Linked DNA regions of Styela clava. The protein of the gene in region 4 purifies or fractionates together with the protein of the main gene of each other region. This does not show direct contact. Links are inferred from orthologs where the notes say so. Each region holds a gene or a part of one and is shown on either strand. Other genes may lie near its edges. The genes, in order: uncharacterized protein LOC120328439, uncharacterized protein LOC120342705, ATP-dependent RNA helicase DHX8-like and uncharacterized protein LOC120331224.

Region 1 (8,154 bases), on a different chromosome or scaffold from region 4:
TATTCAACCGGATATACCATAAATAAGCAGGAGTATACCAAGATAGATCCCGGCTATACAAATAGCAATTGGCATACGATGATACACTAGAGCTATAGCCTGATTCAAACAATCAAATTTCCCGGCCCGTTTTGAGTTTTTGAACGCGCGCAGGTCCCGTTCAACATCGGGCTCAATAATTTATGAAGTATTTGTCTGTCCACGTCTCGAAATTTCCGAGTAAAAGCTATAGTTACAAATCAAAGCCAATATTTCCCTTTTTTATTTAGCACATATAATATTTTGTGACCAGCGTAAGACTTCTATCATAACTTCACCAAACAACTTTTCTGCGCTATTTTATTAAATAATCTTGGTTATTTGCGAAGTATATACGATGAAAATAAAAAATTGAACAAGGTGTAACATGTAGTAAAAGGTCGAACAGCGCTATTTTAGCATATTAGATTGGAATATTTTGTAAAAAGCACTCAACAATAATGCAAAAATAGGCGCTCCTGAAGTATGCGTACCAAGATGTCGGACACCATAACATAGTATGTGTACCAGGTTAGGGTTAGGCCATAATTTTAGGTACAAATACTACGGGAGTCACATGGCTAGTCCCCGAACTCCCAAAAGAACTAAAATAAGGAAAATTGCATTAACATCATAGTCTAACCCTAACCTGGTACACATACTGCGTTCCGGTGTCCTCCATGGTACGTGTACTTCAGGAGTACCCCAAAATGTGAGATTTGATAAAAACACCTCCGCCAAGTTTGAAAATAACAAATCAGTAACTAGTTAGGGTCAGAAACGATTTTAAAATTTGAATTTCCAGCGCAATCTTCATTTTCGGCCCAAACCTCAAGCCAGTAGTTAATAATTTCCTTATTTTGAGGGTTTGTGTGAGTGTTTTGTTTTTGACCGGGGGATTTGTTCAACCTCCAACGATCCTTAGATTGAACCTAATTATACGATTAAAATTAAAAGATTCCGATTACATACTTGCTTTGCTGGTCAGACTCGATAGGCTTCTATCTCACTCAGACGAATTTCTCTTATTGATGACGTAGTATACTGCCTTGTCAACTGAAAGCTGAAAATAAATGTATGTGACATGATCGTCGTATTTTCACCCAAAATAATAACGTACAAGTATTTCAATTCAACAACAGCCTTTCGAAATTGTGATTCAACCATCAAGGAGCGCATTTTAAAACTTTTGCGTAGATAAATCCTTTCAAATAATTCAGAGATTTCCCCTAAATTTATGAAATATTACTTATTTGGAATGATCTGTCGGTACATTGTGTTGCATCTCATCTTGTATATGACTTATTACTTCTGTTAAGTATGTGGCATTACCATATTGATTACATGAATCCATGGATGTCGAAAAGTCAAATAAAATGTATAAATATTACCTGTAGATTTTCCCTCGGTTTCGTTACATCGTGTCTTAGCATCTTCAATTTCAACATCAACAACAATTCTGCATCTGAAAAGTTAAGATATTAATAATACACTGTTGCAGAACTTTCTAATGCGGGAATGGGAATACGTCTAACCACAATAACTAAAATATAAAAGTAAAAAAGCCAAGTATTTATCAATCTATGAATTTGGAGTTAAATTTGAGGTTTCGAAAGTTATCTATATTTCATTGATGTAAAGCGTGCCATGTGAAATGCAGCTTACGTAGTGACTTATATCGGGCGCGGCCTAAAAAAGTGCGAGAATCACTGAATTCTAGGATATATATAATATGCGAGGACTCCTGAGAAAATATCGAATATCTGATGAATGAAACAGCAGAGCTATTCCATTAACTTCGTATCTTTCGCTAACTCGTCAATTTAGAATAAGTCTCAGGTATGTTTAGATTTTTAGTTCATATTGAAAATTATAGGAAATTGTAATTTCAACCAGAAAGATTTAGAAATCATGTTTGTGAAAAGCAATATGTACAAAAATTAAGATAGTAAGCAACAACATTAACCAAATAAATAAAAAAATATAGAGTTTTAGGGAAACCATATAACAGCTTTACAAACGCTTGTTTATATTTAGCTTACCTGAATATTGTTCCAAAGAGACAAACTGATAAGGAGTAATATTCCAGCACCAACCACACACAAAATCGACCGCGCTTCATCATGTAACTTTGCTACTGAGGCGTTGTCGCTTGTGCTTCCCGCGCGAAGAGTGGACGAAAACGCTAATTAGTCCTTTGTAATTAAAAGTTTTTAATTAGTCCCGTTATTTCAGTATCTAACAACCCTGGATCGCTGCGAGCGGATCACGCTTGTGACACGTGATCACAAAACATAAACAATGCAGATGACATTTGGTATTTGCTTAATATTACTTGTTGTGACAGTTTGAATGCCCAATTTACACTAATTTCTCCATCCAAACCAAATGTTGGAGACATAACATACATAGCCATACAATTGAGTTACATGTGAAAATCCTGTTTAATTTTTCAGACCGATGGTAACAATTGATAAAGACTCGATTTAGCGCAGAGCTAGCCCAAACTGGAGTTGCGACACCGCAGGTGAGACGCAGCAAGTTTTGGGGTTGCACAGAATACTCGAATTTTACACACAGAGTACTACCGGAATATCTAATGTAAATTTTATACTTTTGATTCAAAACACAACTATTAAAACTAATGAAACGTATAAATTCCACTAAACATTGCATAAAATCATAGAAGCGCTGGGCTTGCATCGAACTGCAAAAGTTTTGGAAGCCCATATTGAACCAACTTTCAAATCAGTGATTCGTAACCTTTTCGAGCCATCAGAGAATCCTTTTTATTACTCAGGGAATTTCGTCAAACCCCAAAGTTCTGCCAGGTTGAACCAGAACCTCGTAGGGGGAGTGAATTTTGTGCAAGGTATAACACAGGGGTGGGTACCTTTTTCGGCTTGCGTGATAAAATCGGCTAAATATTTTTAGAAATTTTTTTGCGTGCCGACAAAAATTAAAAACAATGCTTTGCTTAAACATGCACAGGCAGATTCACTATTCGAAAAAAATCAGTCCGACGAATATATGTGATTACTTTTCTTATTCTATATATATCAGTATATGAGACTTCTACTGCTACATTAACGCTGATAGAGATTGGACATTGGGTTTAAATTTTGTAACTTTCAAAAACATACATGACATACCGGTTTCATGTTTTAGGCTACTTCTGTTACGAGACTAAATAAAGTTCATAGCTGAGAACAGAGATTCCCAAGTTTATGTAGAATAAAACAAAATATTTCCAATTGAGTGTTGTATTTCAACACAAAACACCGTTGTCGGGAAATATGGATATCGTTGGACATAGGTAGATTCCGGTTTTATTTTAAAGTCTTTCCCTACGGTAGAATTTTATTTTTTTTTGATATTTGTAAGGTAAATTACTATATATTATAATGCATCGATTTTATGGTGAACAAATTCTTATAATATTTTCAATTAAGTGTTGCATTTCGACATAAAACATTGCTGTCGGGAAATATGGATATCGTTGGACATAGGTACATTCCGGTTTTATTTTGAAGTTTTTCCCTACGGTAGAATTTTTTTTTATATTTTGGTATTTGTAAGATAATTTACTATATATTATGATATATTAATTTTATGGTGAACAAATCATTAGAATATTTCCAATAGAATGTTGTATTTCGACACAAACAACCGTTGTCGTGGAAATATGTATATCATTAGATGTTATATCATTAGACATGGGTAGATTCCGGTTTCATTTTAAAGTTTTTCCCTGCGGTAGAATTTTTTTTTTTTGATATTCGTAAGATAATTTACTATAAATTATAATATATTAATTTTATGGTGAACAAATTGTTAGAATATTTTCAATTAGGTGTTGGATTTCGACATAAAACACCGTTGTCGGGAAATATTGATATCATTCGAGAGATCCAATTTCGGGTTTTATTTTAAAATCGTTCCCGACGGTAGAATTTTTTTTATTTTTTGATAATTTTTAAAAAAGTACCATGTAATATGATTATTTATTTTTTGAGGAACAAACTTTAGGATCAATTTCAATTTATATTTGAAATTTGACTTGAAACACCATTACCGCGAAATATTGATATCGGTCGAGTGTGCTAATTTTGACTTTAAATTTAAAGTCTTTCTCTACGATAGAATTTTTTGAAATTTGTAAGATCATATACTGTATAATATGATAATTTAATTCCGTGATAAACAACTCGTTGAATCCTTTTTGATGAACTGTCGAATTTCGACATCAAAAGCCATCGAGACAATGTGTATCTGCTGGTGTAATGTTTTTATCATCATCATTTTTTTTATTTTACAAGATGTATTTGTGCAAATCAGGTATGGTTTATTCATAACTACATTTTATTCATAAAAAGATCAAGCACTTAGCTTAGATTTCAATTTTCCTAATTTTTAGGTCTGACGGAAAATTTCAGGCTTGCTTACCGTCATATCTGGCAACTTTGATTAGAGATATTATTGTTCAGTTGATTTTGATTCATTTTCCCGGCAATTGTGGCCATTTTGTGCCATCAATTGGCAGACTCTGGAAGGTTCTGGTGCTGATTAAAATGTGGATATGGGTAATTTAGTAATCTGTGAGCGTTTAGGATGCCTCAAATTACCGTATAACACTGTCAGAACGCCAGCCACACACTCGTGTGACGCTAGCCCGCACTCGTTTTTGTCAGGCCATGCTTGGTACCGGTATTGCATTTGCGTTGTAGATTATATATCAGATATGGTCTCTTTATTGTCAGAGCCACCAAGTTTTTATGTAATAACGTTTATAAAGCCAGTAACGTTAGTCTATTAGTAGACCTAGGAAAATTCTATTTTCAGTCTATTCCAGTATTCTGATATTCAAAAGTTACCGTACAGTTCAATACAATTTATTTCGGCATTCAATCTAAATTTTGTATCGTTCTGTACGGTACCGGTATCCGTTTTTCATTATAGCCTATTTCATGTATTTATGATGTGCTTTTCCTACTGTACCGGTACGGTACCGGTAATAGACTTTATATTATGCATGCATGACTGCATGATCGTACAAATTCAAAATTGAAATAATAAAAATACTAAATAATATTATTTTGAATTTATACAAGAATAATGACACAATTTCTGCCTCCCAACTTGCTAGCTCTATTTGCTGCTCGAGACCCAGTTCCGTACAAACCTCCAACTGCTCAGGTAAGTGAGAAATGATTATAAATATACCATATAAAACTGTAAAATGATTCTATAATCAGATAATCTAGGAATTTGACTTCATAATTTTGATATATTTATTCATATTATAATTGTTGTTAGTTCTTCAAAATATGTCTCATGTAATGCTGGACCCTTTATAGTATTTTTATAAAAGTATGAGGTTAACATATATTTTATGTTTCACATTGTTTTATAGCTATCATGGGAGAAAGATCGCGAAAAGAATCCATACTGTGGTGTTTCACAATATACCTCACTATTTGAAGATCCCAAAGACACACCTCCACCAACCAGGGGAGAGACAAAAGCAGAGAAGAAAGCCAGAAGGGTACTTTGATATTTAAAGATTGTAGCATTCAGCGGATGTTTTGAAAGTTTGGCAATCAAGCATTTTCATAGTCTTAATTTTATGTTTAACTCAATTATCACGACCAATATACTGCTCTATATCAGGGGTGACAAACCTGCTTTCGACCGTGATCGACTAGAATCTTCAAAATAGCTCACGATTGACTAATCGGAAAAAGGGTCATACACAAACGAATGGGTGCTGAATATGCAGATAACTACACACAGCATACAAAAATTTCCCCACTGCTAATAAGCTTGGATTTGTAGGCGCAATCCTAATGAAATCGTCACAAAAGTTTTTTTTTCATGTTCCATTATTAAAATTGTTAATTTGATAATCTAATTGTACCCGAGGTAAATGTTTCATCATTTGGGGTTTATTCAAATCACATAATCCAGATATAATGTTGGATGTTATATGACTGCTCGAACTTCAGTATCTACTTTATAATTTCCTCTGAGTGCGATTCTTCGCTCGCTTGGAATTGGAAAAAATGGGTATTCTGATGCCACTGCTATTATTGCTAATGAAATTTATCACTTCTCTCGTAGTTATACAATAACTTTCGAATACTGCAGAATAGGATTGTAGAATGTATTGTAGGATCGTGTTTCAGTCAAGACACTCAATGGCAGCAATCCTCTCGCACATAACCATCCCTGCATGGGATTCGAACCTGCGAACCCACGCAGAGTAGTTAGGGGTGCGGTGGCGAGCGTATTCCTAATGCTTAGTCCGTTGAGCCACACCGCCGCGCCAAACTTTCATTTTTTACAATCGACGGAATTGACTGCTTGTAAGGAGCACGTTTCAAACGCGAAAGCGCTCGACCAATAATTACGACTTTACGTAATTTGTAACTTCCCTTCCGTAACTCGAAACAATTCCGTAAATGACGTGCAAGCCTACTCCCACCTACTACTGTATGGATCAAAATGGACTTCTATAAGCTTTTTACTGACTGCCTTTTCTCTGTTGTGCATTAATGTGTGGTCTTATTTGCTGTGAAACTTTTATTAATGATGCAAGCACTGTGTAGGACTGCTTTATTTTTCAACATATACTTTTAATTGACTGAAACGGAATGTTTCTTTCTATTTGTATTTACTGCGGGTTCAGGTTGTAGATATCGGTATGTCCATATCGGTTATCGGTCACCAGTTGGCCGATATATCGTTATCGGTGCCAAAAAGTGATATCGGTCGAGCTTTACTCAATATTCAGCCCTTCTTTTTTTAACCATGGCATGGCGAAACTTCCATTTGTTGCTTAATAATATGCTCTCGGGCTTGCCCAGACTCAAATACTGTATATGTATATCGTATTTTGCGTATGTACAGTACTGTATTCTTTCAGTTTTTAAACACACAACTGGCGCTGCATGAAATTAATTCAAGACAATTTTTTGGGGTATGTTATCAAATTCACTCAACATCAGACGCGATTGACTACTCGAGTCGTGGTGATCAACTGGTCGATCGCTGTCTACGTGTTGGCCACCCCTGCTCTATACTAAGGTTTATAAGCATTTTTATCCCTACATATACATGACTCATGTTGGAAAGATACGACTCAAAATGCGTTACTGGATTGATTCAATCAGTACCTGATTGCGAAGTGCAAAGTATCCATATTAATAACATTCAACATCTTTTCTACCATTTTTTTCATTTCAAACAGATAAAAGAGAAAGCAATACTACGTGCAAAAGAAATTGAAGAAGAAGTTAAAAATTACGATCCCCACAATAATAAAAGTGCAACAGGAGATGCCTTCAAAACATTATTTGTGTCACGCGTAGTAAGTCTCAATTTGTAGCCTTTTTTCAATGTTCTAGTCTTCAATTTTAACTCGATATTGTTTCCTTTATTTCAGAATTATGATACCTCTGAGTCGAAGCTGAGAAGAGAGTTTGATATGTATGGCCCCATACGTAAGGTAAAGTAATTTATGAGTTTTATATTCCAAAAATTGGATTTTTGTTGCAAATTCAATTTCTGCATTGAATTAAATCTGATAGAAGCGTAAATTTTTCGCTTCTGTCACGGAGTTAATTTGCAATTTTTGCTTTTTAGTATCTTAGTTAGCGAGTGTACTTTCTTGCTTGCACATAGAGTCATAGGGGGATATATATATGGCAATTGCTGCATTATGCTAAGTGCTAGAAATATACTTCCTCACACCTCTGATTACGGACGCTACTAAAAAGATAGGTATCACAGGTATCAGTGACTAAAAATGTAGATAGCAGTAGTAAATGACCAAAAAGGTGGGGTCAGGGTTACTGATACCCTCCCTGTAAACCTACCTACCTTTTCACTTTTTAATTCATCTACTACTAGTTGATACCTACCTTTTTAGTGACTGATACCTGTGATACCTACCTTTTTAGTAGGGCCCCTGATTACCCTGGTCAGTTATTGGCTTCCTTTGACATCAGAATCATGCATCTGAAACAAATAACTGGTTAACCATTTCCATATTCAACATCGACTAGTAACTGGACAAGAGGCCACGGTTCGCTACTTAGTTAGGCTGTCCCATCGACTTTGCTCCCCCTTGGGATA
Region 2 (7,769 bases), on a different chromosome or scaffold from region 4:
GTTTACTGCATTCATGTTTTCAATGATGGACTAAAATTTTCTAATATACTAGTTTCTTTATGTACATATTTTGTCTAACTAGCAATACTATTTACTTCCACATTTATTTATTTTGTCGATTATTTTCAATCGCCAATTAAATTTTATTATTTTTTACCTTTAACCGTCAGGTTGGGTCCTTAGGCTCTTCCCTCTTCACACGACGTCTCCGGCACCAAAGCACCTTACCACTATACTTCCACTTGTTTACACACTCTCGTATCCCTAACTGCGACAAACAAAACTATTTTATAATAATATAAATATGCCAAGTTATCGGCTTCCCCTCGCGGGATAAATATGAATTCAAGCTCAACTCAGGCAGTGTCTGTATTCCGCAGTATAAGATTTCGCTGACGTTGCCATGGTTACTAACAAGACGGTGCTCGGAGTCGTTATCCGTTTCTCCTTGGATCGGGTGTCTTTTGGGTATGCAGGTCGCCTCGACTTACTTTAACGTAAACCTGTTCTAATATTTATTGTTTGTTTGATTTATATATTACTGTTATTTATCTATTACTGTTAGACTTGTCATGGGTGTCGCTGCTCGATCACCAGTCTTGGTGTCTCGCGCCTCCCTTCGCCCTAAAGTACCATATTTCCTATTTCTTGTATTGTGTATTCACATTGTGTGCTTTAGAATGGTGAAAAAATAAATTACTGATTACTGATTCAAATTTGGAGATAAGCATAAAACCACTTTGGTGACATGCGTATCTAAAGAGTCATTATAGATATACTAGTTACATTATATCTAATTTTAATTGAAAATTAATTCTGTAACTTCCATTCTCGACAACAGTTGCGTATCTACAGGGGGCGGAAGGGGCAGCCGCCTTGGGTAGCACGTTGTGGGGGACAGCAGAACGAAAGTGTGGAGTTCGCGTTATTACACATGTTTTTCTCGATTTATTTTCATTTAAATAATAGCTGACATTATGTGTTTAGTCTTGTGTGACTGACTGAGGTGATGGTGAGTCAACAATGGATGTTTCTCCTACCATCAAACAATCATTTCAATTCAAAATATCCAACCCTGTTATTGAAAGTACCGGTAGAAAAGTTTAGCCGTGTCTATTACAGCTGTTTTTGGACTAATTTTTGATTACCGCTATTAAACAAGATGAGAAGCCAGTATAATCATTGGGTTCCATTATCTTTGCACCCACGTATATTTGAACCCAGGACAATTTCATCTTTATACTTTTGCACCAATGAACAATTGCATCCGCAGATTTTAGCACCTGCATACAGATCGCACCCATGGACATTTGCATCCACGTACGTTTGAACCCACGTACATTTGCACCCACAGACATTTGAAACCATGAACATTTGTACCTATGTACTTTTGCACTCACGGACATTTGCACCTGCAGAAATTTGCACCAGTGCACATTTGCACCCGCGTACGTTTGAATCCACGTACATTTGCACCCATAGGCATTTAAACCCACAGACTTTTGCACCCACTGACATTTTCACCTTTGTACTTTTGCACCCACGAACATATAAACCTACAGACATTTGCACCCACGGACATTTGCACCTATGTACTTTTGCACCCACGGACATTTAAACCCACAGACATTTGCACCCACGGACATTTGCACCCGCGTACATTTGCCCCAATGTACAATTGAACCCGCGTACATTTACAGTCATGAACATTTGCACCAATGTACAATTGAACCCGCGTACATTTACAGTCATTAACATTTGCACCAATGTACAATTGAACCCGCGTACACTTGCTCTCATGAACATTTGCACCCATGGATATTTGCATCTATGGACACTTGCACTCATGGAATTTTGGACCCGTAAACATTTACACCCTTGATATCAGTCTTTGAAGTAGAGAGGTTCTATTGCCATTTGTACCGAATTAGGGACACCCTAATGTTTTATTTTGTAATGAAAGCAAACTCAAAATGTCCATGAAAGCAAGTGTCTGTGAGTGTAAATGTACGTTGGTGCAAATATCCGCGGGTTCAAATGTCCGTGAGTGCAAAAGTACATAGGTACAAATGTTCATGGTTTCAAATGTCTGTGGGTGCAAATGTACGTGGGTTCAAACGTACGTGGGTGCAAATGTCCATGGGTGCGATCTGTATGCAGGTGCTAAAATCTGCGGATGCAATTGTTCATTGGTGCAAAAGTATACAGATGAAATTGTCCTGGGTTCAAATATACGTGGGTGCAAAGATAATGCCCAGGGTGCAAATGTCCGCGGGGGTCAAATGTACATGGGTGCAAATCAGTATGTTCCCCAGCTTTTCCATTTAGGGGGGGTGTTCGAAATTTAGGGGGTGGTAAATAATTTGCTATTTGAGATAAAACTAGGCTATTTGTATTCTTAAAAAAATGGTATGTATTTAAGAAACGATGTACAAGAGGGGCCCCCCAAGTTGATTGACGGCGAGCCAAAATCCACAGCAGAATAAAACTGTAGGGCCAGAAAAGGGCAGCGAGGAAAAGTGCGGGACGGCACGGCTGGGCGCGTTGGGAAAATTTTGAGAAATAGGCTCTAAGCTTGATTTTAGATACACCTAGCATCGCAGTTTGTTATGTAATGAAATCAATAATTATAATATTTAGCTGATAGAACTCCCGGGAAATAGATAATAAAACAAGGCTTTCAACCGTAACTATATACTACTAGGTTTTAACAAGTAATTTGCAACTGATAGTGACTAAAGAAGTTACTAGCTCATCTGGCATTGTATGAACGGCTACTTATGGCTTGTTTTGTTACACATTTCACATTTTTTTGAACATGTTTGTTTGACTTTTGTATGAATTATGCAATGAATTAAATTTTGAAATACGCGCGTCAACTGATCATAATGGCGCATAATGTTGTATTCCTTCAGAACTGAAATATTTTGTTGGTAAGAAGACAAATCGCTGAAATTTGATTGTTTTCAATAAAAAAATAAAAACGCTGTCATTCATCTAAAAAACGTCTGTTTTCGGTGCCTAGTTTTCGTTTTGTGACATTATTAAGCTTTCCTAATATACGGCTGATATCTAAAATACTGCAGTGTGTAATCCTAATACCCATACGTATACATAAGATACCGATATAATTCAATTGTTACGAAATAAACGTCCTTAAACTGTAATAATGATGTAACAATAGACGGTATCTAAAACCCAAAAGGTACCACATGAAGGGTTAAACTATTTCACTCAAGTTCGGCGGGCCATTTTAAATCGTCACGCGAGCCGTAATTGGCCCGCAGACTGCGGTTTGGAACCCCTCATCTACACTGATGAATATGCCATAGGCGTTATATTTGAATACAATTATACTTGAGTTAGGAATTGCAGTGTGGAATCTCACCTCAAAATTAGGGGGGTTGTTTGAAATTTTAGGGGGGGTGTTCACCCCCTATAGGGGGAGTGTAGGGAAATCACTGGTGCAAATGTCCATGGTTGCCAAAGTTCGTGGGTGCAAATGCCCGCGGTTGCACATGTACTGAGTGCAAATGTTCGTGGGTGCAAATGTGCATGGGTGCTGATGTCCGCGGGTGCAATCTATATGCGGATGATAACATCTATGGGTGGAAATGTAAGGGTGCAAATGTTCTTGCTTCATTGGTTGAGCTTGGCATGTTTTTCCAACTTTGTGCATTGCATATTGTTTATTATAACCAATCGGCTACTCAATTGCTAGTTGCGAACGATCTTTCTCAAAGTTGAAACAGATAAAAACGTCATAATTTGTGGTCTTCGATTTTAAATTAGTGCCTGTCAAGTTTATCTTTGATTAGCATCAAATACGGGTTTTGAGTAATCAAAAAAACGAAAGGGTATTTTTTTCAATTATGGAATGTTCACCGTGTTCAATAAAACAAAATAAGTGGAATGTCCAATTTCCGTCAAAAGCAAATAATTTACACTTTTGAATACCCTTTGGAAAAATGTTTTTTAATTAGGTTATAATTATAAATTACATATCTCCCATTGATCCCATTCGAAAAAATATTCGATTCGATTCTGAAATCATCAGGTAATTCCGAGAAGTGTTTTTCGTGAAATATGCCATCCAAAAAACGAACTTGGTCTGTTGACTATGTACATTGTACACTGAACAGCATGGCTTTACTTTCTCAACTAAACGCGACTCCAATGCGAAATGATATGAGGGTTGTTCAGTCTGAAACGAAGCCACGTATCTCTTCGTCATCGAATAAGCAGCAGAAGTGTCACTAATAAATCTAATGAATGAATAAATTTACTATTTGTTGCAATATATTATGCTACAACTAATGGCGCAACCGGGGGTTCTTTTGGTAGTTGATACTCTCTTGACAATGCAAGTCCTTCAAATTTAAGCCGAAAAAATAACCTATGCTCAACAGTAAGGCTGCGAATTCATATTCTATCAATTGAAGACGGGCAAATTTTCTATAAATTTGTACAAAATCAGCTTACTCTTAATAAGTTCAAGTTGCGCTCTTGGTTCAAAAATTTGGACTTGCGTAATAACACAGGGGCTCGGCAGGCCCACAAAGGTTACGAAACACTGCTCTACCCAATGGTATATTCTATTTTTTCCCTCCAACCCCAGAAAATTTAAAGTAATTCGATTGTATGGTGAAAAAAAATCAATTTTTGCAAAATTTATTACAAGATTGTGTGTAAATGACATTCGGTACAATTTTTAAACATTTGGCTGGAATTTTGCTGGCGTTGCGGTGGCGCACCTGCATCTGGTACTTCCTTCAATCTTTCCAGTGTTGTTGTCTAGTAGCAGTATCGATGGTGGCAGAGTTAGGGGAGTTGATTTAATTTGAAATACGAAATTTATAATCGAAAAAATTGTCTATGGAATAAAATTTAACAAAAAAAGAGTTGGGGGTGGCCCTATAAATGTTGAAATAAAATTCGAAATTATTGCTACTGTCTGCTGGTCTGGCAGTACCCGGTACCCGTACCGCAACGCTGTACCGCATCTTTCTGTCTGTTTGATATGTTATGTTCTAAAGCATGTTTTCATTATGGTTGCAGTGCCTTCATTCAGTCTGCGTCTTGAGTCTGGACATAAACTATTGAGTTGCTATGTTTTGGGATTCACAGAGAACTGGGCTCCCTGGAAAGCAACCTCAACGGGGCATTCTTAGATCAGCACTCAAGGTGAGCTAGATTTGTTGATATAATCTATTCTGCTATTAGTTGCTGTATAAGTTTGGTTTCATTCAACTAGTCTATTGCTGCATTAAACTGTTAAAGACTGAACATACCGGTATTATCCTTTCTAACACAAATAAAGAAAATAAGAGTTCGTTAATTCTGTAATTCTTTGGCATAATCCAATATTTATTTTTAGAAAACATCAAGACCTCAACCTAGTTACCATATTCGAAAACCATATATTCAAAAAGAAGAAGAAGATGACAATGAAGAATTGTTAGTCTTTGGATACGCTTGCAAAATATTCCCACCTGACGATCATGCTAAAAATATTGCTCGGCTGAATCATCTCATCCCTTGGAACGGAGATGAAAACTTACAGCTGATGATTGACAGGTGACTGCAGACTATTCCAGTTTTTTATGCTGGTTGATGCTGACATGCCATCATATTGACAAGCTTATTGTGTAGTCTATTCGCCTTACTGCCTTAGGGGAAAAAATAAAATTTCAAATAAGAATTCACTCTTCAAATAAACTACTTATGTTTTTTTAATCGAAGAATCTGTAGAATAAAAATTTACTGAAAAAAATTTGGATTGATGATTACAAATTGTTTGGATGTTTCCTGAACTGCAAATTTTTTTTGAGGTGTTAGATTTATTTGGTTTCTACTGCTGACAAATCTAGGGTATTATATGAAACTAAACTGGTTTGGAAGCTACTAAATTTTGATTTCAGTGAGCACATTTAAGCATGTATTGTAATGAATTCTACAATCCGAATAAGTTATCGATTAGTTAAATTTAATAAAACTATACAAGGAAGCAGCATATGTACCGGTGAGTGACATCTCAAGATCAAATAAGAAGAATTTTTGAAGCTACTATCGAGAAATTAGTAGTAATTAATGTTCTTACTAATGCATTTGTATTGTGTCATTTACTTAACTTTTCCAAGTTTCTGTTTTTATCTCAGAGTCAGAATATCGAATGAGACAACGAATAAAAGATATAAATTTGTCATCGAGTGAAGTACAGGAAATTTATGAACGAATAGGTGTCTGCAGGCGTCTTATGTGTTTCACTTTAAGATTTTTTCTAATTCACCAAAAAATTGTAAATTGCCGGACTCAATCTTAATACATTGAAGAATAATTTGGCCAAATAGTAATACACTAATCATCCATTAGAAAATATAAAACAAAGCATTTAATTTCGATGTGAAGGTAGGTACGTTAACGGCAGATTGCTGGAAACCTGATTTCATTATCTATTGAAGCAATGTCATAATTTATTGTAAAAATACGTTTTGCTATTGTTTTATTTTCATAATATTGCCAAACTCTGTTCTTGTATTAAATTTTTTTTATTTTTTTGTTTTATGTTGATGTGAAAAAGATATGACGGAAGAGCATCATTGCATGATCTTTCAGAATTTGATGTAGATTCTTGGAATATTCATTATGAAGTATGTAATCTTCTGTTGTTTCCAACTATTTTTTTAGGAGTGCTTATATATGATAACAAATATTATAGAGTCTAGATTGAATTTCATTTTTAATTGTCTTATTTAATTTATCCCAAGTTTCAGATCTATGATAATTAGCTGGTTCAATTAGATACATTATTATTTCGAAACTTTTCATGTAGCTTTGGTGTTGCTTGCTACTGCTCTTTTATTTAGTTCTTCTTTCAACTTGAGATAAGTGATTGTTGGCATCAAACTTACATACTATATATATTAACTATGCTTCAGTACGAATATATATCAAGTATCTCATGACAAGTAACTATATTATGTACTATGTATCACTGACCTCACTTTAACTACTACACCTACACAATGTGTAAATTCTTGTTTTGTTTTTCCTATATACCTAGTTAGATGATTTTTTTTTTACAATTTACTTTCATGTACTCTATATTCTAGTCACCATGCTAGATCGGAATTAGTGGTATTAGTGTAATACATTTTTTTGGAGTATGTTTGCAGTCTGTAGCTTGCTTGGCACTGGTATTTGTATTCTATTGTTCTAACCCAGTTAAACCATACTTGATATTGGTGATGGTGTAAATATGGTTGTTCATTTTGTTTGTATCATGTTCAGAAATCTGAGGAGGATGCAAGGATTGAACAACTGTGTGATCAAGAGAGATACATGGCATTATATACTGATATTGCAGAAGAGAAGATCAGACATGGTAAAATGCTCGATTAAATGTTTTTATGATGAAATCCATTTTAGCAGTTTGTTTAATCTCACTCTATCACAAATTTTTGATAAAACAAATCTTGTTCAAGCTCATAAAGCCATTTGACTTGATGTTTCAAATTTACGCCATCTAGATCTAGATTTTTTTATTCAAATTTATTTTGTATGCGCAAGGTTTTGCACAAACAGCCACTGCTAGAGAATCTTTCTCGTTTTGAACCCATGATTTTAACCATCATAGTTAAGTTATCTTTATATGATGTATATATAGGGTGTCCATAAAGTCTTCAAATTTTTGAAATTGTAAAGGGAAATTATCGATACCATATACGCTATAGTTTTGTCTCTCACAGATGTATTAAATGAAGTAAAAA
Region 3 (8,062 bases), on a different chromosome or scaffold from region 4:
GTCGACCGGAACTCAAAGCCGTATGAATGTTCAATTGACAACTTAAAAGTTGCACACCTACCAACTTCTGACCTATGGCATGCAGATATTGAGGATAGGAATCTTGGCGCCAAATCAAATGAACCACCGGCGAGCGATGTCACTGTTTCGCGCCCACGGACTTTCAATTTCAATATTTCAAATAATAATGATACGATATCCGATACAAGCACGAAACGATCAAATTGCGATGCAGAAATTCATTTTACAGATTCAGCACATCGACTGGGGCCGTCTCCGGAAATGTCAAATCAGCAACAATCAAATCGGCCGCGAAGGCTGAGAAAACTCCCACGCCATTTAAGCAAAGACTTTATTCTATCAGGCGAATTTCAGATGGATATCTGATGACCATATTTTACTACACAATATTTTGCTTTGTCATGCTTTGTATGAGTACGCAAGCCGTTGAGGGACCACTGAAATTATGTCACAAATCGTTACATGGACAGACTTACGACATACGCAAACTAGCTATTTGTAACCGACACAAACTTCACACAATGAAGAATTGTTCAGAAAACATCTACGAGACATCTGCCCTTCTTACAAATGTTGATACCAAGATTTGTAAACGTACAACGACCTACTGGCGAACCATTTCATGGCTGTTCTTCGTCAAGCGCAACCAAAAACACGTTCAAATACCTCAGCCAATGCGCACCCAATTCTGGTTTTTGCCGGAAAGGTGTGTTTACATTTGTTTGGAATGTTGAAGATACGAAAGCTTGTAGAGCTCGCAACTTTCCGAAATTCAACACTACCGAATTCTTGTTATATTACAATGCATCGGGCAATCTTACCGATTGGAAATACCGATCATTGCAAACCTTCGAAACTTGTTCTCAACTATAACGAAATCTTGCATTGAATCAAACGAAGTCTATTGTGCATACAATGGCTTAGTTTTAAACGTAAATGACAACTGCGAAGACATTGTCAGATTACGTCATAAAGGCGTGGCCGCTATTTGGCCTTATTTACGCTTTATTCGTTGTACCCCTGCTTTATTTCATCTATCGAAGCTTGCCAAACTGCCGAATGTCCGTTCGCCGTACATTAACAAATGGATTGCTGCAACCAATACGACTTCTCAGCATACCACGACAAACCGTAGTACAATTCAACGAACAACAAGAAATACACCAGTTATCCGATGTCGAAATTGACGATGAATCGATGGAAAATGCTAGCAACTTCTCAGGTGCGAGCACCCAAGCTCAAATGAGTCGAAAGTTTGACTGTAACAACCTTTTAATTTATCCCCACCCTATTAAGTCAACTCGATTCCGGAGGTCGTTGCGAGTTGTATATGGTGTGTATCTCGCAATGTGTCGCCTCGTTATTAATCATCTTGTATTTATTTTATCAATTTAATCGTTTTGTATTTTATTACTTTTCTCTTATTATTATTATCCACTATAAAACATCAAAACACCTTAGTATAAGAATTTAAATAAAAAAAAAAAAAAAAACATACAAATAAAATAATTGTGCAGTGTCAGTTTTCTTTTCTGTGTAATTACTTGTTATTAATCAATGCCTTGTTTTTTAGATATCACGAGTTCTTTTACTTCATATAGAATTTGATTCAGGTTCAATTTCAGGGATTCAATGGTTCAAGAATCTGTCAAATTACTCATTATTCAATTTACAGGATTTTTTCTTACTTATTATTTTATTTCAAATAACCTCTAACGCCAATTTTACAATCTTAAACACCAAACCAATTTCGGTGTAATTCTCAAGTACTAAATCCGCAATTTTTTTCTTCTCAGGCCCTTCCTTTAAACATCAAAGTGTTTTAGATTCTTTTAGGTCCTTTCTTTCTCAAGTATTGTCGCCATTTTGTTTACTATTTCGTTACAATTCCATTTTAAAATGTTAAGCATTTCTAAGCAACATAGAGAGAGACCCTTTGAATTTTTTTTCTCGTATTTTGTTTTCTCTCGTAAATGGCGTATATTCTCTTGTATACCTTAACCATTACTCATTATATCGTACTGATATCTTTTATTAATTCGTGTTATTTTGTTTTCTTTCACTTCATCTCTCGGCGGCCGGACTCAAATTTAAAAAAATTATCAAGTTAATTTTTTTTACTGTCGAGGGGGAATTGTGTAGCGAATGTGCATTGTGTAACTATGAATTATAATGTATTTAACCCTTTCATTTTAATAGTGTGTTCCATTCCCCACAATAGGTCATTTTATTGTAGCAACACTGATTACTGATTACATGTACTGCCTTTCTCGTATCGACCAATTTGATGACGTATCGTTCCGGCTTGCCGAGAGGGCTGCATAATATTGTGTTTAGATCCACTTCTGTTTTACTGCGTTAGGTGTGATGTGTTTAGATCCACTTCTGTTTTACTGCGTTAAGTGTGATGTGTTTTGATTCACTCTTGATTTACTGTGTTTAGAGTTAAGTGTGTCTCAATTTTATCTGTTTTCGGAATTTGGATTGTGCATCTTCCTATAATATACAATAACGATTAGCATCAACACTGTGTGCTTATTATCGTCTGAAGGAGTCCAGATTGGAGTCACATTCCATAACGCGTGTCAAAACAATAACGCGGGAATCGAACTTAAACATATAGGGTGATAGTCTATATCCCATCAACATCACATCTCTTTCTCCCTATAGTACTACAGTGCTAACATCGTGGTCATAACGGTGCAACAAAACCTAGAAGAACGCTAATTTGAAGCGGGAATGTTCGAGTTTTGTCAGGATTGCTCAAATACCCATTTCAATGACCAGAAAATCTTTCTAGTTGTATGCGCTAATAAAAATATTTCAGATACTACAGCCCACCGAACCTGATTTCACAAGCTTCAAGATATAACAATACCAGGATGTAGTTCATTTACCCAATTGAAATTCAAATATTACTGTATAATTCGAACAAATAAATTGTTTCAATTTAAACTTAAACATCTTAGCATTTTCATGCAGTGACAATTTTAAATGAGCTAACACATCATCAGTTTGGCCATGGTTATTTACATTAATTGAAACAGAGACAATGCATATGTAAAAGCTATGAATAAAAAAACGTTATTTAATGGAGTGAATAAATTTCCACAGTTTTTATGATTAACATGACACTGAAAGCACTTAATTCCCATGTAGCAATCAATATAAATGAGGCAAAATACCAAAAACTTACACAATTCACGGAAAATTTGAAAAAGTCAAAGTTGACTGAATATATTCAGTAATTATGAAAAAAACATGAAGACCGGCCAAATTTGGCAAACGGCAACCGGCTACAGGGGTGGTGACTCCGCTATGACCCATGGGCCGGGGCCACGGCTCATCTAATTGGGCCACATGGGCCGTGGCCCCATCAGGAAAAATTCAATCATCTTACCAAAATTTTCAAATTTTTACAAAATTGTAAATATTCGAACCAAAAAAAATCGTGGGATGCTACCAATTTTTTTTTCTTACGATAAGCATTTATATAAAAATAAAGCATAATACCAAACTACCAACAGTGATACTCCTGTAGTATGTGTACCAGGTTAGGGTTAGGACAAAATTTTGTTCAGATTTTTCACATTATAGTTCTATTATGAGTTCGAGGACTGTCTGTGTTAGCCAAGTGAATAGTCCCTTTACACAACTTGATGGGCCGCGGCCCATAGCCTGATGGGCCGAGGCCCAATTCGATGGGCTGTGGCCCCGGCCCATGGGCCTTAGATGAGTCACGACTCCCACTCGCAACCGGACGCTGCACACCACGAGTATCGCACTAATTAAGCAACTTTTGACCTACGCCAAAAGGCATCGTTGCCGTCGTTTTCTGAGAATCCCGCATCAGGCAAAGTACAAGTAAGTATAGGATAGGATAGGATTCACATATTTATCCCGGGGGAGAGGAAAGCCGATAAGACGGCTTAATCATATGGCGAATCACGGCCTCTCGTCCGGTTACCAGTCCAGGTCGGGCATGGGATTAGTTAGCCAGTTATTTGTTTTCGGAAGCATGGACTCGATGGTGGAGGAAGCCGTAGCCGACCAGCGGTTACGTGAACCACCCTACGGCGGCGAGGAGTCCAGCCATCCTCTCGCACATGATCATCCCCGCATGGGATTCGAACCTGCAATCTCACGAAGGGTAATCAGAGATGCGGTGGCGAGCGTATTCCTGACCCTTAGCACATGCGCCACTCAGCCGAGTAAGATTTAGGTAAGTTAACCGTACCTGAACTGTGCACCCCGATTTCCCACGAATAGAGGTTATAAAATTCAACCTTGTAAAGTTGTATATAACAATAATCTATAATTCTATATGACAAATTAAGAAAATTGAACACTGTTGCCAGGTTGCCGTATGGATTATCTGGAAATAACGTGCCTGATGCTGATGGAACTAGGGTGGTGTAGCCAATCTGCGGACGATTTCATTCAAACCGCTATAAAACAAAAACCAATATTTCTAACCCGTTAATTTTTTCACTGTAGGTGCATCGGCATTTATTCTACAAGCTAAACCTCGAATTAACTTTCTACGACCAGGGGTTAAAGCAATACAAACCACCAAAGTACGACACTCTGAAGACGTATTTGCGACCGAACGACCAGTGTGCGACCACGGCTTTCAAGCCTTGAACATCGTTTCTGCTGCATCGAGACTAGGGCATACGCAGCCATGCCCACTTTAAAGATGGTAAAAAGAAACACAACTCTATCCACCTGCCAAGTTTCATCTCTTTATCTCCTATATTTGTATGAATTTTCAAGCTTTTTAAAGGAACAATGGATAGTTGGCGACATGGGAAAACAGTCCGTTTTTTTTCTTCGGTCGGGTTTTCGGTCGTAACTTTTTTTGTTGTGGCCGCATTTTAGTGTAATTTCGCAGAGCTACGAGGGATAAGTGGACGATAACCACAGAGATATATAAATATATTTCCAGTTCAGTGACGATAACGCGTGAGAAATATCGTCGCGGCTCGTTAATTTTTTTGGCAGTAATAATCGATGAAGTGATGGTCGCAAATAGGTTGTGGCCGCAAAGTGGGTAAGCCACCGTACCCTGATGTTATTGATTTAAGTTTTTTATAGGCCCTATGTTTGTTTGCTTAAATTCATATTAATTATGTCTGTTTGTGTAACCAAAATTTTACCTTGTAGCTTATCAAATTTTTATTCGGTTTATCACAGTAGACCTATACAAATTCAGGTATAACAGTATAAGGATTTGATATTGCTGTACTGAAACCTCAACATGAAGATGCTTTTGTGACATTACACAAATAAAAATGATTTACTCTAGCGTTCCAGAATTACTCTCCAAGTTCATTCTTCCATTTTGTGAATATAATTTTAAATACTAGAATCAAGTTCATGCTTCCTAAAACAAATAACTAACTAATCCCATACGGTATCCGACGTGGAATGGTACCCGGACGTGAGGCCATGGTTTGCCATGTCAGCATGTGGTTAGGGGGGGGGGGGGGTAATAGACTTTCCTCTCCTTCCAGCTCTTTGGATAAATATGTAAATCCAGATGTTCTACCTCTTATTTAGTCATCTGAAATTGTGAATGTTAAACTCTGTAAACATAACAGCATGAAAGAGGGAGTTGACTTTGATGATCGTCTGGTCGTATTACTCCCTCCTGTCTACTATTACTAATTGATTGTTATTATTTTTATTAGTACGATGACTGTTATATTATTTTGGTTGACGAAAAAATAAAATCCCTCTTTCTCTGTCCCATTAGAAACTGAATAATGAAACCTCAATACAGCAATACGAAGATAACACTCGTGACACTGGCAGAAGGAAGGTCTATAAATCTGATACTTGTATAGAATCAGAGTTATATCGTGTACTTGACCAGACCGTTCTCTTTTTCCCTTCTTCTTTACATACCAGATGTACCTTAACTAAAGCATCTTGGCTGTATGGTTTTTTGCTTTACAGAACTGCAGAATTACGCCAAGAGCTGCTGACAAACTGCACTATGTAATACTAACTGTAGTAATTTTTGCTTGCATTTTGTAATTTCAGAATTTAGATAATTTTGGGACCATCTATGCAAAATTATGGATGACTTGGAAAAACTTGAATATCTTTCTCTTGTGTCGAAAGTTTGTACAGAATTAGACAACCATCTTGGAATGAACGATAAAGATTTAGGTATTGTAGTTCTTTTTACATTCTTATGTCCAATTTTCAGTAAGCATCGATTTTTTCGACACATTCTAACATAAGTTTATAAGTTCAGTAAACTTGGTGGCATCTCAGACATTTTTATTAACTGAACAACCTGACACATTAGCATGTTTCTGTGATGGTCCAGTTGTTGGTGTATAGCATAAGTTAGGTGTCTTCGTACAACAAAACCTTACCGAAGGTTAGAAAATAAAAAATCAGGCTTGTAAATTTTTTAATTTAAAAGTTTTTGGATATTTTGAATACTTGACAGTGTCGCTGACACTATGACTTTGGTGGCCTTTTGCGGCAATATTGTATGTCTGTTTATTTCAATTTTTATTTTTAATACTATTTCTGATTAATTTTGTTGTTACAATATATCTTGGACAACAAAATAAATATCTGAATTCATTAATATAAAGCTTACTTGCAAGCATTTTGGCTGATTGGGAGATTACAAGTTCATTGAATGCATAGTCAAAGAAACTGAAGTAAAATAGTTATAATATTTCTATTTAGCGGAATTTGTCATCAATCTCGCTGGAAAACATGTCACTGTCGAGTCATTCTCATCGGCATTAGCTAAAAATGGAGCAGAGTTTCCACATTCTTTTACAAGAAATCTTTTGTCTCTTATACATAGAATGAGGCCACCACAAAAGAAAAGAAAAAAGAGTATGTCCATCATTCATATATACTCTCGGTTTTTGGATGATTCCGTAATGTGGCGTCTAATAGACTGTTTATAGCTTGGGTTTGGTTATTATTGAGTAACTGTTCGATAATAACTGAATGTCAATAGTATGTGTTAAATGAATATTGTCCAAAATGGCAGAGACTAATTATTCAGCTGAAGAAATGATGACCAGGTCGTTGACAACTGTAGAAAATGTTACACATCTGAGCAGTTTTGTCAACATAATTTTTGTGATTCCTAGAATGTTGAAATATGTTGTTTCTGTTTGACATAAATTTGTAGATTTGTAGTTCTTTTTTCTGAATTGAGACCATAAAATCTTTAGGTTGTAGAATCCATGTCTCATGTTACTATGAAATAATTGCGTTTGTACACCAATTGTAGATTTTTTTCATTTGTTAATTTCATACATTTGAAACAATTCTTACTGGCATAATATTTGTAAACATTTATATTTTCCTTTCAGATAAAAAGTTAAAAAATGATTCAAAAAGCGATGGGAATGACAAAGGACCCGATTTTAACAGACATAAGACAATGTTTCCAGCATTATGCATTGCTGATGATAAAGATTATGTCAAGAATTTGTTATCAGGTATTGTATAGACTAGGCTATTCAAAGGTAGTTTATCTCAATTTAATAAAGATGCTAGCCAAACAAAACAGCACGGTAATATTTCAAAATTAAAACACAAATGAACGAAATACCATCATCGATCGAAGTCACTCCGAATGAAAATAGCAGTTGTGCCACCACTTGCAATCCTGACTTTCTTTTCACTTGTCTCACAGTAATATGGTTGATGAGTCGACTGCCAATGCCTAACATGCGTAGCGGTACACGGTGCATTTTTAATCATGGCAACAGTCTGCAGTCCATGCATTCTTCAGAATGGTCGCATACACGCATAACTCAGATCGCACCAAAAAATTGGCTCATTTGCGCATGACTTTGATCCCGTAACGAGATGATATCAACATCAGTAATGACACAATATTCAAAATCAGCTGATAAATAAATTATTCAAATCGCATTACCGAAGAATTGCCAACTGTAGCAACATCGAAAGAATGTAGCTTGTAAATATGTCACAAAAGGGCATTCTACGACGTTTGAAAATCCCTTAAATAGCAATTTTCGAATCTACG
Region 4 (7,705 bases):
CGTTGAATCTTTGTGTCCAGTTCTTCAAGCGACAGACAAGGCTGCGGTAATATTCCAGTGGTAAAGGATGGAACAGAGTTTGGTGGCGGCGTGACTTGCTGCACTCCCATAGTCTTAGAATCTAACATAATTGAAAACATACATACCGTATATATAATTGTATTAGGTCTATACATAATCATCCCATGCAAATTATCATTAGACGAAGATTTCAGATATGCAGTTGTGTGTCGATGACAAACATAATAACAGCGTAAACATGGGAGTTGACAACACGATTCTGCCCCCAAAAGGGACAGAACAGAAAAAGTTTAGCGCGTGCTCAACTGTGGGCAATTATAGTAGACTTACAATAAAATCAATTCTCACAGATTGAAAATTATATATATATCACAAAACAGAAAAAATTAGAATACTTGGAGTAACTGGGGGCGCAACAAATGGATTCTCATTGCCGTGGTCAGTCTCATTTTTCATATTTCCTGTTTTTGAATCACCGTGAGAAGTCGATAATGCAGACGCCAATTCTCCAACATTCGTTGTAGAGAGTTTTCCGACGTCGTCACTACTGGTATTTCTGGAATAATATTAATAGCCTGATAGTTTATAGAAAATTATTTTTTAATTATGAGCAAAATGCCATTTTGTAATTAATAAATATCAAAAATCACTCTCGAACTCAATAACTCTTTCTCGGCCATTGATAAAAAGTTGTGATATCTGCTAATCTATCATGGCCTGTTTAGCTAATTTTGGCGAAACTCTAACCTCGAGGTTGGCAATGCAACATCGGGTATTACAGGTGGTGGGAAAAGAGCATTGTCCTCTTCTGAAAATTTCTCACGGACCTGCTCGTCCCCGGACGTAGATGTTCTGCACAAAAATCATTCATATAAAAAAAAATTATTTTAATTTCTGAAATAATATATTTATATTTTTGCACAGATCGCAATCTAATTGAACTGTTAGGCTGCATTTTATCTAAACTGTATGTATCATAGAAAAACAAGGCTCTCTCTCTGAAAGAGGTCAGTGATTGTTAGGGCCGATTGTTTACCCGATTCCGGTATGATTCTTTCCATTTTCTTGAATCCCGGTATCGTTCTGAGTCTTTTTAGTATTTGGAATCTGTGTACATTAATTATTAAACAACATTCATTCGTGGATTCATGCATTTGGAATTGATGGATGCCAGCAAAACCACGATAGCATCGCACGTTGACTATTTCAGACTGAAACTGATTATTAACAGTCTAACGAATAGTGGTTGAATAAACATATCAGACCTTGGGACTTGAATAGAAAGCTTGAACTCGGAAGCGATATGCACCACGCCATAAAAATTGTTATTTTATTTGTGGTATTACGACCATGTTGATTCATCATAACACTGTCGCTTGAAGAGGGGGTGATGGTTTTCAGAATGCATATCGATGTAGTGATTTGAAAAATTAACTCTGAAGTGTTTCGTAAAATAAACCAGATTCCATATATCGCAGAGCGTTATTCTAACCAATAAAAGACGATATATATACCATAATACCTTGTCGGCCCTGTGAGCATCCTCGTCCACGATGTCCACGGTCGACAATTTACGGCATTGAGAGAATGTCTGATAGAAGTATTTAACATGAATGAATTGAACTGAGAGTACTTTGTCATATATAGGTATTGTAATACGAAATCAAGGATTCACCCACAAGCATATACATGAACACATCATAGGCCTATACATACATTCCAATTATATGTATTCTATTACTTACAAATTCATCGTGACCACGGTTCTGTTGGTAAAAGTGACTGATATAAAGTATCATGTTGCATGCTTTTACATCAGAAAAATATCCGATAGTATTTGGATTATACAATCATTTATATATATATAAATCATACATATATATATATATATATATATATATACTTTTGATTACATATCTTCCGGACTCACCAAGACTTTGTTAGCCTTCACCATTCCTCTGCCGAACCATGAAGCAAATGCATATATACAATGCACCGCAGTCAAATAAGATGAAGCTTCATCTTGTTTCTAAGAAATTAATTTAACAAAATTGAATAATGTGTTGCGAGAACGTTAATATTCAAGAATGCTTTCTTGATATCATTGAATATGTAAAACGGGCCTGGGAACTAGATTTAAAACTCCGAATTTTAAACTTCGTGGGGCCGTTAAGTTTCCCGTCATTGGGTGGAGTAGTGACATCAAACCAGAAGTCGAGAGTCGTAATTTCTCCCGGAAACGACACAATTATCATAGCCTACTCTTAACTTCTGTTATTACCTAGTCAAAATATGTATTACCAGTCGAGTTAGTAGTCGCTCCTATTCGGGATGGGATTTACTAGAAGCCCAAATAGAAGCAGTGATTCTGTCCTACTCCAAGTACGCGTATTTGATACATACTTCTCGATTGAGACTCATAGTAGCACATAAAAGAATGAAAATGCGATTGGGATGGACGATATCCCTTGCGTAACGACTGCAAAATTTCAGTGTTTGAAATTTCAGTGAAACTGTTCACCCTCTACAGGAGGTATAGGAAAATCGCTGGTATGGCCATGGAGAACAACGGCCAATTAAAAAATTGTGGAATATCAGATTGATCTTTTAATTGACGAATATTCACGGAGGCATTAGAGCCTAATTCTTTTATGCGTTTTATACGCATTCTACTCTGAAAAAGGATTATAGTACTGATAAAACCTTTACTTCAGCGATTTTCCGGATAGAAGATATATATAAATATTATGAAAGTGATGTTGACACAGTCAAGTGATCTGTTCACTGAAGTTGTTCAAACTCTGGGTTCTTACGCTTCTTTTCAGCTTCTACACTTTGCTTCATCATGCCGAGCCACCAGCGTTCGCGTTCGGCTCACATATAACTTACTGGTTTGTTAGTGTTCGATAAGTTTGAAGACATTCTGATGTTCACGAAAATTTTATGTTTATTTCGATGTTAATATCATTGGATTTTCATTACCGCCATTGCTGATGAACGAGCGTGTTTAAGGCTCAGTCCACACTCAAAGAGCAAAATCTGCACACGCGAGGAAGAGAAAGCAGCGGATTTCTAATCCGTCGTGATGGGTTCAAACTTTGAAAAGTTTTGAGAATTTTTGAAAGATCATGGAGAGCAAAAATTGTAAGAATCTGTAGCCATTTCTTTTTGTTGAATTTCACAAATTTTGTATAGTAAATAATATTTTTATTGGGAAAACTCAACTAAGACATGGTAAGCAATTCATTTGATTGTTATATAGGCCGCCTTGATTCTGTTTTAAAGTTGAAATATAAATTTGCTTGCTAATCCGTCCAATGAGCATATATACAATGAGTGGAAACTTGCAAAGATTTGCTCATTATGGCATTGTTCCCTGCATTTTTACGTCGTCCAGCTAAATGGTTCGTTGCATATTAAGAAAACGCGTTGCTCGCTGCCAAAATTCCTTGCTTCAGCCGAGTCGGGTGCGAATTTGGCCGTATTACCTTGACTTGAGGTCTTTAATTCTTCAATACATATTTGATTTTGGGTTTCGAAGTATGGTACGCTGAAAGCATACAACTATGAGCCTATGCTTACTGGAGAGAGGGATTTTGGCAGCGAGCAATGAGTTTTCTCCATATGCAACGAACCATTTAGCTGGACGACGTAAAACATGCAGGGAACAATGCCATAATGAGCAAATCTTTGCAAGTTTCCACTCATTGTATATATGCTCATTGATCCGTCCTAACACATAGCCATATCAGACAGTGGCGTATCTAGGGTATCTTTATTACTATCTTTATCAGTGTTTCCCGGTCTGATTTGACTCGTGAGCATTTGATAAATATTCAGACTACTGCTCGCTATCTTGGAAAGATCTCTCGTGATTGGTGTAGGTGTGCCAACCCACCCCTATTGGTGTTGCACTCGAACTCTGCTTCACAAATGCGGCATATGTACACTTGGCATTACTTTGAGCCAGAATATAATTTCAAGTTCATCACTTCTTACCAACTTATTTGACTACATTCATTTAGTTAGATCGAAAAATAAGTTAACTTACTTCAGCGGAAGATTTTCTAAATCTTCGCCCTCGCCTCTTTCTCCCGCATGACACCCTGTGTCCTTCGTCGTTGTCTTGGGTAACGATACCCACTTTGTTTCGTTTTAGTGGCATATTAAGCAAGCATGCTGCCAAAAATACCGAATAAAATGTCGACTTAAGCAAAAAGTTACAATTACCCCAAAATCGTATACTTATTACGTCACAATAGGACACGGGATGTTTATGCCAATCAGCAGTGACATATTTATCAATCATATCCTGAATGTCAAAAGGCTTTATAAGGTTTAGGTTTGAGTTGAGTGAAAAACTTCAGGTAACACACTCCATTGGTATGCGAAAACAATGAAATATTGTCTTTCTCGGGGAAAAGACAGGCTTTTCAGATTTTAAGTTCAATTCATCTCTTCTATATTGTTGTAAAAGGGCATTCCTTTTATAATGTGGTCATCTGCTGTTTTGATGTAATTTAACTTATTTAGCTTTTTGTTTGATAATATTGAATCAATTATTTTTTCCTCTTGCCATGAAATTAGCCTAAATTCGTGCAAAGATGATTGAACTTTCTGCTTCGCCGCACACAAAGGTCGCATTGCTACAAGCTTGTAGCTTTACCACTTTACGAAGCACAGAAGCAAGTATTCGGCGCGAGCACGTTTTGCATATTTGTTTGTAAACACTTTGATAGCATAATGGCACCAAGTCCAGCTCGAGGGCGTGAAAAAGCAACGAATGACACTACCGACGGAGGACGAAAAAAGGCTAGATCATCTTCCAGGTTAGTGCGGTAGACTATTATCAGACTACGGTACGGTACCGGTACCGGTATGTTACAAAAAATCTGCATCCAGTCTGCAAGATTTGGGGTCTGGTATAGTTTGGTACCACATGCACTTCTAGTTGGCCTGGCTCAACAATTTTTGCATATGCCAATCCTAAACCCCACCTGACTACGTCACCGAAAAATTACGTCATTTTGACGTCACATTGGCGTAATAAGGCCCACCAAAGTACAGTATGCGGATGGTCGTCCAAAACGCGCAGATGATGACCCGAAATCGAGTAAGCTATTTCTTTCGTTTTCACGTCATAACGATCACGATGTATGTATGTACTGGTATGTTTATTAGTCTCGCCGGCGTAAGCGAGTTCGTTATCGGCGGCGCAGATGCCATTTCAGGCGATCGTAATTCTACTATAGCCCTATGACGTGTTTGTGACGTCGTATCGACATATTTTTTGAATGGCATAGTAAGGTGAGGGTTAGGATTAACATATGCAAAATTCGTTTTGATACACCAACTGGAAGTACTTGTGGTACTAAACTATACTAGACCCAAGATTTGAATAAAAGTCAAAATAGGGAAATGATATCAAGTTTGTGAAAAATGTCCAAGAAATAATTGAGATTCCATACACAGTATATACCTATACGGTACGTTACCATTATCCAATTTGGCAATCCTCGTAAAACTATTAATATGGGGTGGCAAAACTTTATTTTATTTGTTTCTATATTTTCACTTTTTCAAGTACCGGTAATTGATTTTATGTTTCGGCTTTTTTTTACTTCTGATCTCATCATGTCTCCGTGATTGTGTGTTTGTCTGGTTTGTGTGTGTGCATGCTCTAATTACAGAATTAGTTTCAATACTTTTGGGTGAGCGAACACGTAGTACTTCTTTTAACAAGACCTTTCCATCTGTACGTTTCAAACATTATTTCTGTACTTTAGGTTTTGTTTGCTCTCCCGATTCTATAATCAGTTTTATTTATTTTGTTTTTGTAGCGTACCGGCAATGTATGAAATAATTATCCAGGTTCAGAATATCTTCTAATATGATCTGACGTCAAGTTTTCTCTCAATAGTCCAAGTCTTTATGCTATTTTATGTCATTTATTAACAACTCGAACAGTAAACGATCCAAAACAACCAAACACTCCCAAAGGAACGAAAAGCATAAAATAAAAATAACAGATACCGGTACCAGGCAGTAAAATGCAAGAAAGACCACATACACAACAAAAGCACTGACAAAACCTGAAATCCAAGACAACTCTGAATAAAAACCAAATGACCCCTAGAATCTGGTACAATAAACTAGCTACTGCAATTTGCAAAACAGGCCGAAAGTAACTTATGACAGGCATTTAAAAAGACTATGAACAATTCTATAGGTGCACAACATTTGAACAATACTGATGAAAGCTAATTCCACGATAAAACTGAAAATACAACACTACGGTAAATGAACTGTAATGGCACTGTACTGGTAAAAACAATAACATGGTCCCTACGTCAGCCCACTGTCCAGCACAAAACATCCGACAGTCACACAACACAGACAAACATCCCTGAAGACCAGAGGCATTCACACAGACATTCAAAACCCACCAATCTAACCGAAACACTCAGACGACCGCACTCTGTATGTGATCCAATTTGTATTGCCAATTACCTTAACAATTATTTCACCACCATAGGCCCGAAACTGTCTGAAAATATTCCCCATTCTAATGATTCTTTTTTGAATAATCTCAAGAATCCAGTGAAAGATTCCTTGTTTCTTAGACCAACGACAATCAATGAAGTATTTACCACCATAGCAAGTCTTCCTGATGGCAAAGCAGTGGGGTATGACAATATACCTGCCAAATTTTTAAAATACGCCGCTGATATAGTGTCTCCCATGCTGTGTAAGTTGTTTAATGCCTCCCTAGACCATGGTATTTTTCCCAATTGTTTGAAAATTGCTAAAGTCACACCAGTGTTCAAAGCTGGAGACAAAGAATGTGCAACCAACTATCGCCCCATTTCAGTTCTTTCGACTATGACCATAACATTCGAATTCGAAAAACTTTTGCATACCAGACTAACACAATTTATAGATCGAAATAGCATTATTAATAAGTCACAGTTTGGTTTCCAAAAGAAGCACTCTACTAATCATGCAATACTAGATGTGGTAACTTACTTTTATGATAAATTAGAGAAAAGGGAATATATCAGTGCAATATTTCTCGACCTAAAAAAGGCATTCGACACTGTCGACCATCACATATTAGTTAGAAAGCTGAGCCACTATGGCATTCGCGGTCATGCATCAAAATTCTTCCAGAGCTATTTATATTCACGTCAACAATATGTCAAAATAGGATCAAATTGCTCCGAACTTGCAACTGTACAATGCGGAATTCCCCAGGGCACAATAATTGGCCCATTAATGTTCGTATTATTCGTCAACGATCTTCCTCATGCCACCAGATTATTGGTCAAACTCTTCGCTGACGATACCGGGTTATTTGGAAGTTCAGTCTCGCCAAATGACTTGCAAATACACATGAACTCTGAAATGCAAAAAATTGCAACGTGGATGACTAGTAACAAACTAACTATAAATATTGAAAAATCCAAATCACTTCTAATTAATCCCCAAAAAAATGAAAGAAGTGTGCATTTGATTAAAATTACTATTAATGGTATATTACTTGAGAATGTGAACTCATACAAATACTTGGGTATACACATTAATAACCAGTTAAAATGGGCAGCTCATATTAACTACATTGCTGGCAAGCTTGCTAGAACAGCAGGTATATTATTCAAACTTAAAAAGTTTCTCACCCCATCAG

The links.
Region 1: the proteins of uncharacterized protein LOC120331224 (region 4) and uncharacterized protein LOC120328439 purify together in Homo sapiens (co-immunoprecipitation; 7 studies listed by BioGRID and IntAct, counting the BioPlex papers as one, with this or other methods). This does not show direct contact. The link is inferred for Styela clava from reciprocal best matches to the Homo sapiens genes RNPS1 and SNRNP70.
Region 2: the proteins of uncharacterized protein LOC120331224 (region 4) and uncharacterized protein LOC120342705 purify together in Homo sapiens (co-immunoprecipitation; 3 studies listed by BioGRID and IntAct, with this or other methods). This does not show direct contact. The link is inferred for Styela clava from reciprocal best matches to the Homo sapiens genes RNPS1 and SFSWAP.
Region 3: the proteins of uncharacterized protein LOC120331224 (region 4) and ATP-dependent RNA helicase DHX8-like purify together in Homo sapiens (co-immunoprecipitation; 3 studies listed by BioGRID and IntAct, with this or other methods). This does not show direct contact. The link is inferred for Styela clava from reciprocal best matches to the Homo sapiens genes RNPS1 and DHX8.

The regions. Positions count from the first base shown.
Region 1 is NC_135256.1:9,929,154-9,937,307, reverse strand, and holds the start of uncharacterized protein LOC120328439, read left to right. Parts: upstream 1-5,047; 5' UTR 5,048-5,133; coding exon 5,134-5,214; intron 5,215-5,431; coding exon 5,432-5,563; intron 5,564-7,267; coding exon 7,268-7,387; intron 7,388-7,462; coding exon 7,463-7,525; intron 7,526-8,154. UniProt on the Homo sapiens protein: Component of the spliceosomal U1 snRNP, which is essential for recognition of the pre-mRNA 5' splice-site and the subsequent assembly of the spliceosome. SNRNP70 binds to the loop I region of U1-snRNA.
Region 2 is NC_135252.1:3,297,351-3,305,119, reverse strand, and holds the start of uncharacterized protein LOC120342705, read left to right. Parts: upstream 1-4,744; 5' UTR 4,745-4,763; exon of another isoform or gene 4,764-4,825; intron 4,826-5,058; 5' UTR 5,059-5,109; coding exon 5,110-5,184; intron 5,185-5,377; coding exon 5,378-5,577; exon of another isoform or gene 5,578-6,239; intron 6,240-6,580; coding exon 6,581-6,650; intron 6,651-7,290; coding exon 7,291-7,384; intron 7,385-7,769.
Region 3 is NC_135250.1:15,234,690-15,242,751, forward strand, and holds the start of ATP-dependent RNA helicase DHX8-like, read left to right. Parts: upstream 1-4,975; 5' UTR 4,976-5,074; intron 5,075-6,069; 5' UTR 6,070-6,104; coding exon 6,105-6,198; intron 6,199-6,735; coding exon 6,736-6,891; intron 6,892-7,379; coding exon 7,380-7,508; intron 7,509-8,062. Other genes in the region: uncharacterized protein LOC144425897, read left to right, coding at 1-387.
Region 4 is NC_135255.1:4,593,708-4,601,412, reverse strand, and holds the start of uncharacterized protein LOC120331224, read left to right. Parts: upstream 1-4,679; 5' UTR 4,680-4,764; coding exon 4,765-4,850; intron 4,851-7,705. Other genes in the region: uncharacterized protein LOC120331194, read right to left, coding at 1-121, 417-577, 769-873, 1,058-1,128, 1,544-1,612, 1,952-2,050, 4,073-4,186. UniProt on the Homo sapiens protein: Part of pre- and post-splicing multiprotein mRNP complexes. Auxiliary component of the splicing-dependent multiprotein exon junction complex (EJC) deposited at splice junction on mRNAs.